Linked DNA regions of Rattus norvegicus. The protein of the gene in region 2 purifies or fractionates together with the protein of the main gene of each other region. This does not show direct contact. Links are inferred from orthologs where the notes say so. Each region holds a gene or a part of one and is shown on either strand. Other genes may lie near its edges.

What was found. The genes of interacting proteins can lie anywhere in the genome.
Region 1: the proteins of Ncbp1 (region 2) and Lin28a purify together in Homo sapiens (affinity purification with mass spectrometry; 3 studies listed by BioGRID and IntAct, with this or other methods). This does not show direct contact. The link is inferred for Rattus norvegicus from reciprocal best matches to the Homo sapiens genes NCBP1 and LIN28A.

What each region holds. Positions count from the first base shown.
Region 1 is NC_086023.1:151,523,601-151,529,957, forward strand, and holds the start of Lin28a (protein lin-28 homolog A), read right to left. Parts: upstream 4,285-6,357; 5' UTR 4,210-4,284; coding exon 4,179-4,209; intron 3,718-4,178; coding exon 3,521-3,717; intron 1-3,520. UniProt on the Homo sapiens protein: RNA-binding protein that inhibits processing of pre-let-7 miRNAs and regulates translation of mRNAs that control developmental timing, pluripotency and metabolism.
Region 2 is NC_086023.1:65,208,895-65,215,060, forward strand, and holds the start of Ncbp1 (nuclear cap-binding protein subunit 1), read left to right. Parts: upstream 1-2,737; 5' UTR 2,738-2,806; coding exon 2,807-2,840; intron 2,841-6,166. UniProt on the Homo sapiens protein: Component of the cap-binding complex (CBC), which binds cotranscriptionally to the 5'-cap of pre-mRNAs and is involved in various processes such as pre-mRNA splicing, translation regulation, nonsense-mediated mRNA decay, RNA-mediated gene silencing (RNAi) by microRNAs (miRNAs) and mRNA export.

The sequences.
Region 1 (6,357 bases), about 86 Mb from region 2:
ATGCAGGTATATCATCAAGTCTATGCAGGTATGGCATCACCATGTGCTACCAAAGAGCCTGCCCTAAGAACAGCAACGTTCTGAGGAGCTGCTGAAAACCACTACAACTTTATTTCCTAGTTTCTACAAATCTTGGTGGCTTAGATTTTGAACCACAGGTAACTGGAGTTAAACCCAAAGTTAAAAGTGCTCAGGGGGGTTGGGGATTTAGCTCAGTGGTAGAGCGCTTGCCTAGCAAGCGCAAGGCCCTAGGTTCGGTCCTCAGCTCCAAAAAAAAAAAAAAAAGAAAAAAAAAAAAAAAGTCAGGGACTTCTAGCCATATTCACAAATATCTTGCTAACCCTTTCTTTCCTAGTGAGAAGTGATTCTGCTTCCCAAGGGACATTGGCAAGACATGGAGACATTTTGGTTCTCACTACTAATCAATTCCAGATTTCAAGATCTAAAGACCTTTGGCTGAATAAAATGGGTATTAAGAGAAGCCTGTTTCGGGGCTGGGGATTTAGCTCAGTGGTAGAGCGCTTACCTAGGAAGCGCAAGGCCCTGGGTTCGGTCCCCAGCTCCGGAAGAAAAAAAAAAAAAAAAACCAAAAAAAAAAAAAAAAAAAAAAAGTGTGGGTCAGGATGCTCTCCTTTGGGTTGGGGATTTAGCTCAGTGGTTAGAGCGCTTGCCTAGGAAGCGCAAGGCCCTGGGTTCGGTCCCCAACTCCAAAAAAAAAAGAACCAAAAAAGGGGCTGGGGATTTAGCTCAGTGGTAGAGCGCTTACCTAGGAAGCGCAAGGCCCTGGGTTCGGTCCCCAGCTCCGGAAAAAAAAAAAAAGAACCCAAAAAAAAAAAAAAAAAAAAGAGAAGCCTGTTTCATAGCCCCTCATCCCCAGCCTACTCCTTACTGGGAACAGAATGAAGTGTGTACAGGTCAGGCACTGGTGACACCAAAGTAAAAGGGTGTCACTCAACTATCTGTCACCTTGGCTATTTATACAATGACTTGCAGACTACACTTGCACTACAGTGTAAGGTGCTGTCTCAAAATATTAAAAAGAGAGGATATGAATCAGCACAAGGAGAGTGGTTTCTGTATTACCTCCATGTTGCAAAGGTCTTTCTTGACCCCTCCCTCTCCCTGGCATGGCAAAATCTTGAGACAATATCCTCCCCCCACCCCAATGCAATCCTACCCCATCACTAGGGTCCAGGAGCTGAAGAAGTTCCACTCGAGATTTCTTACGCTCTCTACGCTCCCCCCTTCCAAAGTAAACAAGTTTTTGAGATTAACCTGTATCTACCACATTCCTCCTGAAGAGATACCTCAGCTCAACAACCGAGTTTACTGCTACGGTGTGGGCCAGGCAAGTTATGGTAAAACACCAGTCACAGTGTTTAGAGAGCAGAGAGGTAACTGAGTTCTTGAAATATGGCTGCCAGCCAAGAACCTTGGTATAGGCCTTTAATCCCAACATCCAGAAGGCAGAAAGAAGCAGGCAGCTCTCTCGAGTTAAAGGCCAGCCTGGGTGACAGGGCAAATTCCAAGCCAGCCACAGTTACACAGTGAGACCCCCTTCTCAAAAAGAAAAAAAAAAAAAAAGAAAAAAAAAAAAAGAAAAACCAAACACAAAATCCACAAATGTGGGCTGGTTTCCGAGCTAGTCTGTACCGAAGACTGCTGCTTTCTTCCAGAGATATCCTGTAACTTTCCAGTGGCTATGAATCCTAAGGGAGGCACAGCTTCTCCATTTGTCCCAACACCAGTGAACCTCCGATCAGAAGGGACATTCTCCCCAGTTCCTCCCCACTTAACCTCCGCAAGGAGTCAAGAAAGTCTGGAACCTCCTTCATACCCAGCCTCCCAAAATTGAAGAAATACCCCAGCTCATCTCTAGACCAGGAAATATTTTAATCTCTGTGATCAGATAAATGAACCAATGGGGGGGTGGGGGGGAGGCTTGCCACCCGCTGAGGAGGGCCGGTCAGAGCCGGTTCCTGTAATAAAGTGATTTAATAGATCTAAAGAGGCCAATTCCCAGTCTCACAATTACTTCCTGTGGGTTATCATTCACATATGCAAATAAGATTGGGGGGTACAAAGCCACCATCCAGAAACCAGCAGTCTGGTGGTAGTGATTGGGGTGGGGGTTGCAGAAAAGTTAAGGGCACTGCTACAGGTCCGGGAAGAAAGCACATATTCCAAAGGCCCAGTGACCCTAGGACACCAACAGCAAAGAGCTGGTCCTCAAATCCCTTCAACCCAAATCTATTTAGTTTGCACTCAACCTCCTGACTAAAGGGCCGAGTTCAGCCTACCCAGCAGCCCCTAAACAGTCCACCCAGCATCTCCTTCTCCACCCCTCCCCCTCAAGAACGCCATCCCTCAGGCTCCAACTCTTAATCCCCACATCCTCCTTTCCCCTCCCCCACAGCTCCTAAAGCTAACCTCCCTGAAGTAACCCCTCCCTGCCCGGCCCGGGTGTCAAGCTCCTGGGCCAGGGATTAGCAATTACTTCTTTCCTGGTCCAGCCTTAACCCACCAAATGTGGAAAGGGCCGGAGCAGGAACTCCCTTTCCACCGCGGAATGGCAGCACTGGAACCACCCGTAGGGTATTAAGAAAGAGAATGGCCAGGAAGAGGGAAACCTGAAGGCTCTACTCCCTTCCTTGTTTAGGGTTAGGAATGTTAGGGACAGCAATCAATGGCTGTCTGGGGCCATAAATGCCAAGCTGAGGAGAATAGGGCCAGAGGCCAGTCCTCTCTCCACCGCCTTCCCCCTCGACACTGAATTTCACTCCCTACCGCGTTGCCCTTCTTTAACTGAGAACTTGGGATTGCCACAGCCAGGAATGAAGGCCTAGGCTCTTAAGGTCTTCTTCCTTCCTGGCAGGATCCGGTGGACAGCCAGAGGTGCCTGCCAGTCCTGATCTGCAACCAGACCTCTAGGGGAGCTTTTTAGCTTACACATTGATCCTTCCGGGATCTGCCAAACCTACACTGGCCACAGGACCTGGCTTTTGGGTGGCCACCTGACTGAGGTCCGTATTCAAACGGGAAGAGCCTGACGTCGCAGGTTCATGCCCGTAGGTAGGTGGCAAATTGCTCACTCTCCCTGTAAACTAGATTCAGAAATTCAGAACTCAGGGCGCTAGCACCCGGCTCAGGCCCTGCATGTGCTTCCCTGGTCAGCCTGCTCGCCCTCCCCCACCGGCAAGCACAATACAACCTTAGTTTCTGCCACATGGGGTCACCTCCCTGCCCCCTGCTCCCTTCCCAGGGGAAAGAGGTAATAGACACGTGGTAAGCCGGAGGGGTTCCCGGAAGGGGGCGGGGAGGGGGTGCTGGTAGTAGTGCCTCCTCCTTGCACCACCGCACTTACTACAAACTCAAAATTGGGGTGCCCCGGAAAAGACAGGGACGCACAATAAGGGTCCTTTATCTCCTCCAATCGGACAGGAGGGGCCACCAGCCAAGCCCATACATAGGAACTCCCAGTCTTTTTTTTTTCCTAGCAAAGTTCCAGAATCAGTCTCACCTGGTGCACAAAGACGTCCACCGGGGGGTCGAGCGCGACCCCGGCACGGGCGGTCATAGACAGGAAGCCGAACCCCATGCGCACGTTGAACCACTTACAGATGCCGGCCCCGTGCAGCAGCTGCGGCTCGTCTGCCGCTCGGGCCGCGTCAGCCGGCGCCTCTTCTGGCGCCTTCTCCGCTGCCTTGGCGCAGCCACCTGGAGATAGGGAGGGCCAGGTGATCAGCTGGGGACCAAGGAATCGCAGGCCCTCTCAGGGACCCGTCTGGGAGATCTCGGTGGTCAGCCCGCGGATAGACACCCAGGAGGAAGCAGCTACCAAGCGGCTGGTAAGAAGAAACCTGTCCTAGCTGCCTCCCCAAGCTTACACCGAGGATGCTAACGCCCCGAAAGTTTTGCTTGTCTTCCCACAACAAGTTGCCCGTGCACACGCGGCGGGACAGGCCCCTCCTCTTCTCTCCCTCCGCCCCTACGGGCTCCGCGTACAAGCCACTGGAACACCAGGGTTCCCCTAGTCCAGAGATGGCCCCAAGAAGCAGGAGGCCACGGGGACTTGGGGTCCCGCGGGCAAGTCCGTGGGACACTTTCCCACCTCCCTTCTATTTAGCTACTGGGCGCCCTGCACCCTAAGGTGTGCCCGCTGAATCGCAAGCTCGAACCTGCAAACTGCTGGTTGGACACCGAGCCCATGGTCGTCGGCTGAGCCCGTGGCCCCGGGCCCCAGGTCGGGCGGCTGCTGGCCCCAGAGAAGTCCGGAGGCAAAGGGGTGGTTCGGAGAAGAGGCTGCTACATCTTCCCCTGCACAATAGCGGTGGGAGGGCCCACGGCTTTTCAAAGGCTCCCAAATTCTAAAAGACAATGACCCAACCCCCCACGGGCAGCCCCCTCCCCTCCCCTCTCTCCTTACCCCTCCCTTTCCCTCTGGCTCTGGCTTCGGCCCTCCCCCACTGCTCTGGTCTCTGACACCTCTGGGGTGTCCCTTCCCAGAACCTTGAGATTTGACACCCCCTCCACATACACACATCTGGAGATGGGGATCTTTTGCCCCAGAAGTCTTCAGTACCCCAGAATTTGGGATCCTGCACTTTGAGGACTCAATGCGGGTATCTAAAGCGGACACAGGTGGGGGACCGAGGGGGGGGTAATTTTATAACCACGTGACCACACACACACACACACACACATATATACACACACACACACACACACACACACACACACACCAACCCCACCCCCCGGGCAGATAATTATACATTCCAGAGAGTTGGGGGAGGGAGGTGTGAGCCTGGTGGCGCTGTCCAATCAGAAACACAAACCACCTGTCAAGGGAAAAATGGATGAGCCCTCCCCCTCCCCCTCCCCCAGCCCCTCAGCGCCCCTCCCCCTCTTTCCCCTCAGGCCTCGGAGCTGACCCGGCTGCTTGGCGCTGACCTGCTCTCACCCCCCACCTCCGTGTGCTTAGATAGACCTGGAGCTCTGGACACTAGGAAGCCGGGATAGGGGTGCAGGGAAGCGGCTGGAGCCCCCACAGAGCTGATCTGTCTTAACCCAGGTGCTGCCTCTCAAACTCGGCCTGTTTCTGGCTGCAACTGGATGTCTCCATCTCCAAATTTCAACATCACTTTCTCTGGGTTTGTCCCATTCAGAAACAAACTCCTAATTGATTCTGTGTGAAGAGTCCTTTGCTCCCTCCTAAGCCTACACCTAAAGTTGGTTCAAGGTAGAGCTTCCTGGGAGAGCATGTGGAAACCTGAAGAGTGCCCTCTTTGCTAGCTGCATTCTCATCGGGCCCCTGCCTGCCGAGTCCCGTCCTGTCCCATCCGTTGGTGGCAGAGAATAGATTGGTGGGTGGAGGCACTTCCTCCAGGACCCGGGACATTCTGATTCCCAGTCCCTCCTGTTCTCAGTCACCATCCTAAATTGCTCTACCCTCCGGGGTAGACTGGTGTGCAAAGAGTGAATAGGGAAGCTTCTCATTTGAAGAGGTAAACTCCCTACTAGAAGATAAAGAGGGTGGACCAGAGGGGTGGCCACTGCCCTGGTCAGAGATGGACAATGGCCCGGGGCTCAGTGCACGGCCCTGGCCCTGCCCCTTCACTTCCGGTGCTCAGTTCAAACTGGACAATGCCAGCTCCGGTCAGTTCCCCTCCCCCACAGCTACAACCCATTTAAAGGGACAGAGCCTGCTTTCAGAGGCATCAGCTTATCCTGAATTCAGTCTTCTCCACAAGTGTGTAGAATCTCTTGTGGTCCACACGCTGCAGTTGTGCATGTGTAAGTGCACGTTCATGAGCAAATGCCTATCTAAGAAAGAGGAAAAAAGATGATGGCTAGGGAAACGGACGATGGGTAGACGGACCATGAGGAATATTTTCCTCCTCTTTTCTACGAACCGCTTTGATGAGCGTAAAAATTCCGAGATAGAGCTTTGGAGGATGGAAAGGATGACAGTAAGTAGCCTTGTGCTACTTAGTCGAAAAACTAAAGTATCACTAACAGTGTCCTATTCTCAGCTAGGGACTGTTAGGTCTTTTTGGAGTCGTCTGAGTGTGTCAACCAGAGTCATTTCACTTACAGAACCCGGTCCCGTTAAGTAACGCCTTTACTGTTCCTTATACAGTTGCTCTTGAAGTTCATAAGTTGGTGGTTGAGGTCTTCTGAAGGGAAGAAGAAAGACGAGGTGAGCATTCAGGCTTCTCTTGGTCAGACTCTAGCTTGGTTGGATTTCCCCGGCAGGCACGACCACTTGCTCTGTCCAGGGTGCTGAGGGCGCCCGTGGCTCTGTCCCTGGTGCTGAAAAGTTGGTGCTTTTCTCCGCCTTGAGACCTTCCTGCATTC
Region 2 (6,166 bases):
CCCTATTTTTTTTTCCAACAGAATTAAGAAAAATTTATTCTTTAATCCTTTTTTACAGTCCAATCTTTATCCCTCTCTTTGTCTGCCTTCTGACTGTTACTCATCCCATACTAACACCCCAACCACCCACCCTTGACTCCAAGAGGATGTCCCCACCCCCCACTCCACCAGACCTCCCCACTTTCTGGGACCTTAAGTCTCTCCAGGGTTAGGTGCATCTTCTCTCACTGAGGCTAGACCAGGCAGTCCTCTGCCATATATGTGTCGGGGGCCTCCTATCAGCTGGTGTATGCTGCCTGGGTCAAGCCCTAGTTTTTAAATTAATTTTTCTGAGACTGGGTCTTGCTACATAGTAGGGGTGGGCTGGCCTTGAGCTCCTAGTAACCTTAAATTTAAGATTCTGGAATGCTGGGCCACTATACCAGGCCCTGTGCTTTGCCATCCTTTGAAAGTCAGCAATCCACTTGAATTACATTCACCATCATCCCAGTGTATGGCTCTGGCAGTTCTTGTCTGATTTAGTGATGCTTAATGTTTGGTTTAGGACCTTGGACCAAAATATGTGCATATTTTACATATCAAAGCAGACCTGGCCTTCAGGTTCTCCCAGTATCCCTTTGTCCCTACCCGATATACCTTGCCCCAATCTTGAACTTTCCAGCTCCTTCCCCCAGAGGCTCTTGCATATACAATCCAGACATTTTGGCCTCCTTGCCTTCTTTCTTTGCTCCTGCGTCCTTTCTTCCCCGATCCCCATAGTGATTTTCCAGGCCTCGGTGCTGGCAGCCAGTGAAGTCACTTGAGAGCAGCTTCCCAATAAACCCGTCTTTAATATATCCTCATCTGGCTGGAATTGGTTCACTTCAGGCAGAGATGTAACCTATTGCTTAACTACTCCCTTCTTGGAGGACTTTTCCAAAGTCTCAACCTATTCCGATAATTTGTCCCTGCTCTTCTTTTTTTTTTTTTTTTTTTTTTTGTTGTTGTTGTTGTTGTTGTTCTTTTTTTCGGAGCTGGGGACCGAACCCAGGGCCTTGCACTTCCTAGGTAACCGCTCTACCACTGAGCTAAATCCCCAGCCCCAGTCCCTGCTCTTCTGATCACAACTTGTACCACTCTCCCTTCGCTATTAAGTCAATCAGACTACAGTGCCTGTGGTCATTCCTGAGGGGTCCATTTAGGGCTTCGGCTTCTAAAAGAAACTCCCCTTTGTTTACCACACAGCTTCAATATCCTGAACACCATCTTGTGTACAGAAGGTAACAAATGTCAATTAATACAATATAGTACTTGTTGAATAAAATAAAGCAAAAGTTGAAGAGTCAGAAATAACTCTGTAGGTATCCGATGGCCAGTCATGTAGGTTCACAGCAGAGACCATCAGGTAAAGTAAATAAGTCTTAATTCCCAAAATGTGAACAATCTGGACTTATCAGAAGAACATAGTGGTTTATACACAATGATGGGTACAGAACCCAAGAAGCCATAGTTTGGAATTTGCAATAGAAATTCCTGGAAAGATGGATTGCTTATATGTATGAATAAATAAATGAAAAGAATAAATAAAAGACAATCTAAGAGAGAGAGAGAGAGAGAGAGAGAGAGAGAGAGAGAGAGAGAAGAAGAAGAAGAAGAAGAAGAAGAGGAGGAGGAGGAGGAGGAGGAGGAGGAGGAGGAGGAGGAGGAGCCAGAACGATGGCTCATTGGTTAAGAGTGCCTACTGCTCTTGCAGAAGACCCAGGACTCAGCACCCCACCCCACCCGACTCTCGCCCACTCTCCTCCTCCCATCTCACATGTCAGTCAGAAACTCCAGTTCCAGGGTGGTGTACAACTTACACCCAGGAACAAACACATAGAATTTTTTTTAAGTCCATGAAGGGTTTTAAACATAGTGAATAAGTGGTTATAACTTGCTTTGAAAGTACAGCAGGCAGTGTTAGTGGAAAAACTGTAAAACAGGAAGTGAAGGGTCTAATGATTCCTCCCTAAATTCATGGATTAAGCAAACTACAGAAACGGCCATTTGCTGTAACAGGTAAGACTGAAGGAAAAGTTTTGGCTAGACCACGGACAAGGCAGTTTGGTGCCCATCACAGGGCAGAAACGTCCACATACTGTACACGTGCAGAGGGACAGAAGAACAATTGGATGCAGACCGATCAATAGCTGAGGCGCCCGTCAGCTGGAAGAGGTGAGCAGTAGGACGGCAGTAAGCAGGCTCGGCCGGGCGGGCCTGGCTCCCCTACCGCTGAGAGTGGCTTGCCCTTCTTCCCCGCTCAGTTTTCCCGAGACGTCTACAGCCAGACGGCAAAAGCGAGAACACGTACCCGCAATACCTAGGCCTTTCCTGGGTCTCCCTTCTCCAACTTGGCGCTGCTCCCCGCCCTGGAGCCCACGCCCCCCCCCCGGCTCGCGCGTGCGTAGAAAGTCCCTGAAACGTCACCTATCTCCGGAAGTCTCCAAAGTCGTCGGCGCAGGGGCCGCCGGGAAAATACTGCTGGGCCTGTGCAAAGCTGAGGCGGGATCGTTGCAGCCCGGATAATTTAGCTCGCCGTCCGGAAGGTCCCAGAGTGGAAAGCCGGAGGAGGCGGCTGAGCTTGGACTTGCAGACGCCGGCCTTCCACCGCGAAACCCATCCGGTGCCTCTCCGCTCGCGCTTCCGGCAGGCGTCGTGAGCGAGTGCGCCTGCGCGCCGCTCAGTCCGCGCGCCTCGCCACTGACCGCGCACCGGCCGGCCGGCAGCCCGACGGTTCTGGTGTTGCAGGCGACCCGCAACTCAGATCCGCTGCGCATCAGCAAGCAGCATGTCGCGGAGGCGGCACAGCTACGAGAACGATGGTGAGTGCTCTGGGCCTGGCCACCGCACCCAGGTGAGAGTTGAGAGGCCGGACTGCCCTCGGTCTCTAGGGAACAAATAGGAGTCCTTTCTCCCCGGGAGGGTTCGAGGAGCCCCGAAGGGAGGCGACTGGCTCGGGTGTGGATAGTGGCTTCAGGAAAGCGACGGCCTCCCTGCTGCCCCATCTCCTTCAGTCACGGGGAAGGAAGGCCTGGTGTACCCCGTGGGCAAACCCGACCTGGAGTCCGGCGACACTGAAGACTTAATCCCTCACTACTGATCGTGGAAACGCACGTGTCTGCTGCTGCCCCTTAGGGTCAGTTAGTGGCGGGGATCTAGTGGACCAGTGTTTTCATTTTAACCCTCCAGGGTGCACTTGGAAAGGACCCTGGGAAGACGGGAAAAGAACAAAGCTATGACAGAGATCGGATGTATTGCAATCTGAACCCTACCCCTCTACCTGCCACCTTCTGATTTCCCTCTTAGGCTTCAGGGAAAGAATACCAACACCTCAGAGGTCACTAATAAACAGACACATGCTGTTTTGCTGGATTGACTTTAAGCCTATTTCCCTGTGTAAGAAAGTGCAGGAGAACTAACCTGAGCATATTAGTAATTCTCATGTCAGTTTTGATAGTCGCGGGCAAGGAGGTTGTCGTGTTGCCATAAATTTTGTTGCCAAGCTCAATTTTGCACCATTATTGCCTCTCAAGGACACAGCCATACCCAGAAGTGAAACTTGGAGCTGTTGATATTAGTGAATTCCTCTTTGAAATGTATGTTAGATCCAAATGATCAAGACAAGAAAAAACTTTAGAACCCAAGGGTTTAGGTTCAAAGCTCGACATCTGCTATTTACTATGTGATCTTGTCATGGTCATATGCCCTCCAATACTAAGCCTTTTGATTTCTACGAGGACTAAATGAGATACTGTGCTCACCAGTAAGTAGTTCATGATGCTGTTTGTTTTACCAACTGTCAATGTCTCAAAGGTGATACAGATAAATGTTGACGTCATTAAGAAAAAAGCCGCCCCCCCCCTCCAAATTAATTGGGTAGCTTCCTTCCTTGGAATGTTAAGACAACCAAGTAGAATCACACATAGTTTTAAAGTGGACCACCAGGTTTTTGCTAGGCAGTACCTGAGAGAATGCCCTGATACATCAGAGCAAGTCGGAACTCCCACCACATCAGCATAGCTGCTCTGCTTGCCTGATTTTGTTTTTGTATTTAACATGATGGCTTCTTATGTAATTCATGTACAGAGCACAGGGAATACAGCTTTTCTCTGCTTTGTATCTGACTACTGAACTAATCTGCTTGGGATCAGAGAATTTGTCCTTGGTCTTCATCCTAGTTCTTTCCATTCTCTTGTCTCCATTTTTTCTCTCACTTCCAGGTTACCCCTAAAGTGAGGGTGTCACTGGAGAATTAGAATATGAATATATAGAAAACCTCTTATGGCTTGCTTAGAAGGCTTGCAAATTTTGGTTGTGTTGGCTTTTTTTTACCAGCTAGCGGCTGAATCATTTTTTCAGTTGGGTCTGGGTACAGAAACCTTAGAGAGTAGATAGAACAAAGTGACATACAATTAAGCATTTGTTAATCGAAATTCAGTATAGCAAATCATTTAGTGGTAGAGAGGCTGTTTATAGTTCCTCCAATTGTAGACATATGGAGATATACTTTATTTAGAGTTAAATAATCAGTTTAGTGAGCTAAATAAAAAATAATTGGGCTGCTTTTTAGTGAAGTGTCTGCAGTTCATATATATATATAGACAACTTTTTTAGAGGTGGCTAGGAATTTTAAAGAAATCAAAGTTAACCAGACCTAAGCATTTCTGGTTATTGTCAACTCTACTCTGATGTTCCTTATGCTGGGCTGTGTATAGTCGGCCTTCTGCATCTTCATTCTCTCTATCCTTGAATTCTGCAATGTGGTTCCAAAATACTTGAAAGGTGTCAGTACTGAACCTGTAGTTAGTTAATTTTTTTCCTTGTTATTTCCTAAATGATATAATGTCACAACTATGTATATAACACTTGTATTATATGATAAGGAATGTAGAGATAATGTAAAGTATCACAGTATACATAGATCATGGGCAAATACCAACACTATTTTATATAAGGGACTTGAGCATCATTCAATTTTGGTATCTGAGTTGGAGCCCTGTTGATACCAAAAACAGCTGTATAATCTAATCAGGACTTACTAAACAATTTCCTAGCTTCTGTACTTGCAGTACAGTAGTAGGCAGTAAAACAGTGGAGGTTCCCCCTCCTGTATTAAGACAAAATCCACAACAGTATAGTGTAAGTCATTATATGGTCATGAGGCTGTGGAGAATAAAGTGAGGTAAAGGGTACAGAGACCAAAGTGAGAGAGAAGCTGGTCAGGTAAGTTCGACTTGCAGATTACAGTGATGTAAGGATAGGCCATGTGGATGTTTGGAGAAAGCAGAGGTCCAAAGGAAACCACGAGTTAAAGTTAGAGCATTTCTGTCATGTTTAGAGAACAGATAGCAAAGAGGTCACTGTTGCTAAAAGAGAGAAAATAAGGGTAGAAGTTATGAGGCTCATACCTTACTGGACCACTTTCAACATTTCTGTTAGGACTATACTATTGGGGATTCACAGAGATATTACAAGGTAGCTAGTCAAGAAATTCCTGTCATTTAGAAACACAGACAGAGGTATTGTAAATGGAAAGTACCAAATCTAACTCAGTCTTAGACTCTCTGTTTATTTTTGAGACAGGGTCTCTGTGGCTGTCTAGAACTATGCCATTCAGGCTGGAACTACTATGTCCTGGCTATGTGATCCCACTGACCCCCCTTCCCCCAAGGGAAATATCATGTCTGGCAGTCTTAGATTCCTTAACAGTATCTCTGAACCTCTCCAGTTAACGTTGGATATACATTTTATCAGTGTTAAGTATACTGTCTTATTAAGAAGTTTTTGGATTATTCAAAGTCAAAATCCAGATAGCCTATTCTTTCTTCTTCTACTTAGGTCTTTATATTTTACTGTGACTGATGTTTTTAAACTTAACTGTATAAAAAGTTTGTTCTACTTAGGGACAGTATACTTTGTTTCAGAGGTGATATTTTTAGTCATTTTAAATTGTTTTAAGTTTGTAGAGTCAAAGTTACTTTTTTCTTTTACGGTGTGTTTGTCTACTTTGTTGATCCAAATTACACATCTGATTCTAATAAGGGTATAGGAAATAGTACAATGTATCCTTGTGACATTAGGTTCCTGTTGCAGGGAGAAAATTATTTGGTGTCTTGCTTGTTTGTTAGTTTGTTGTGTTCTCTTGTCT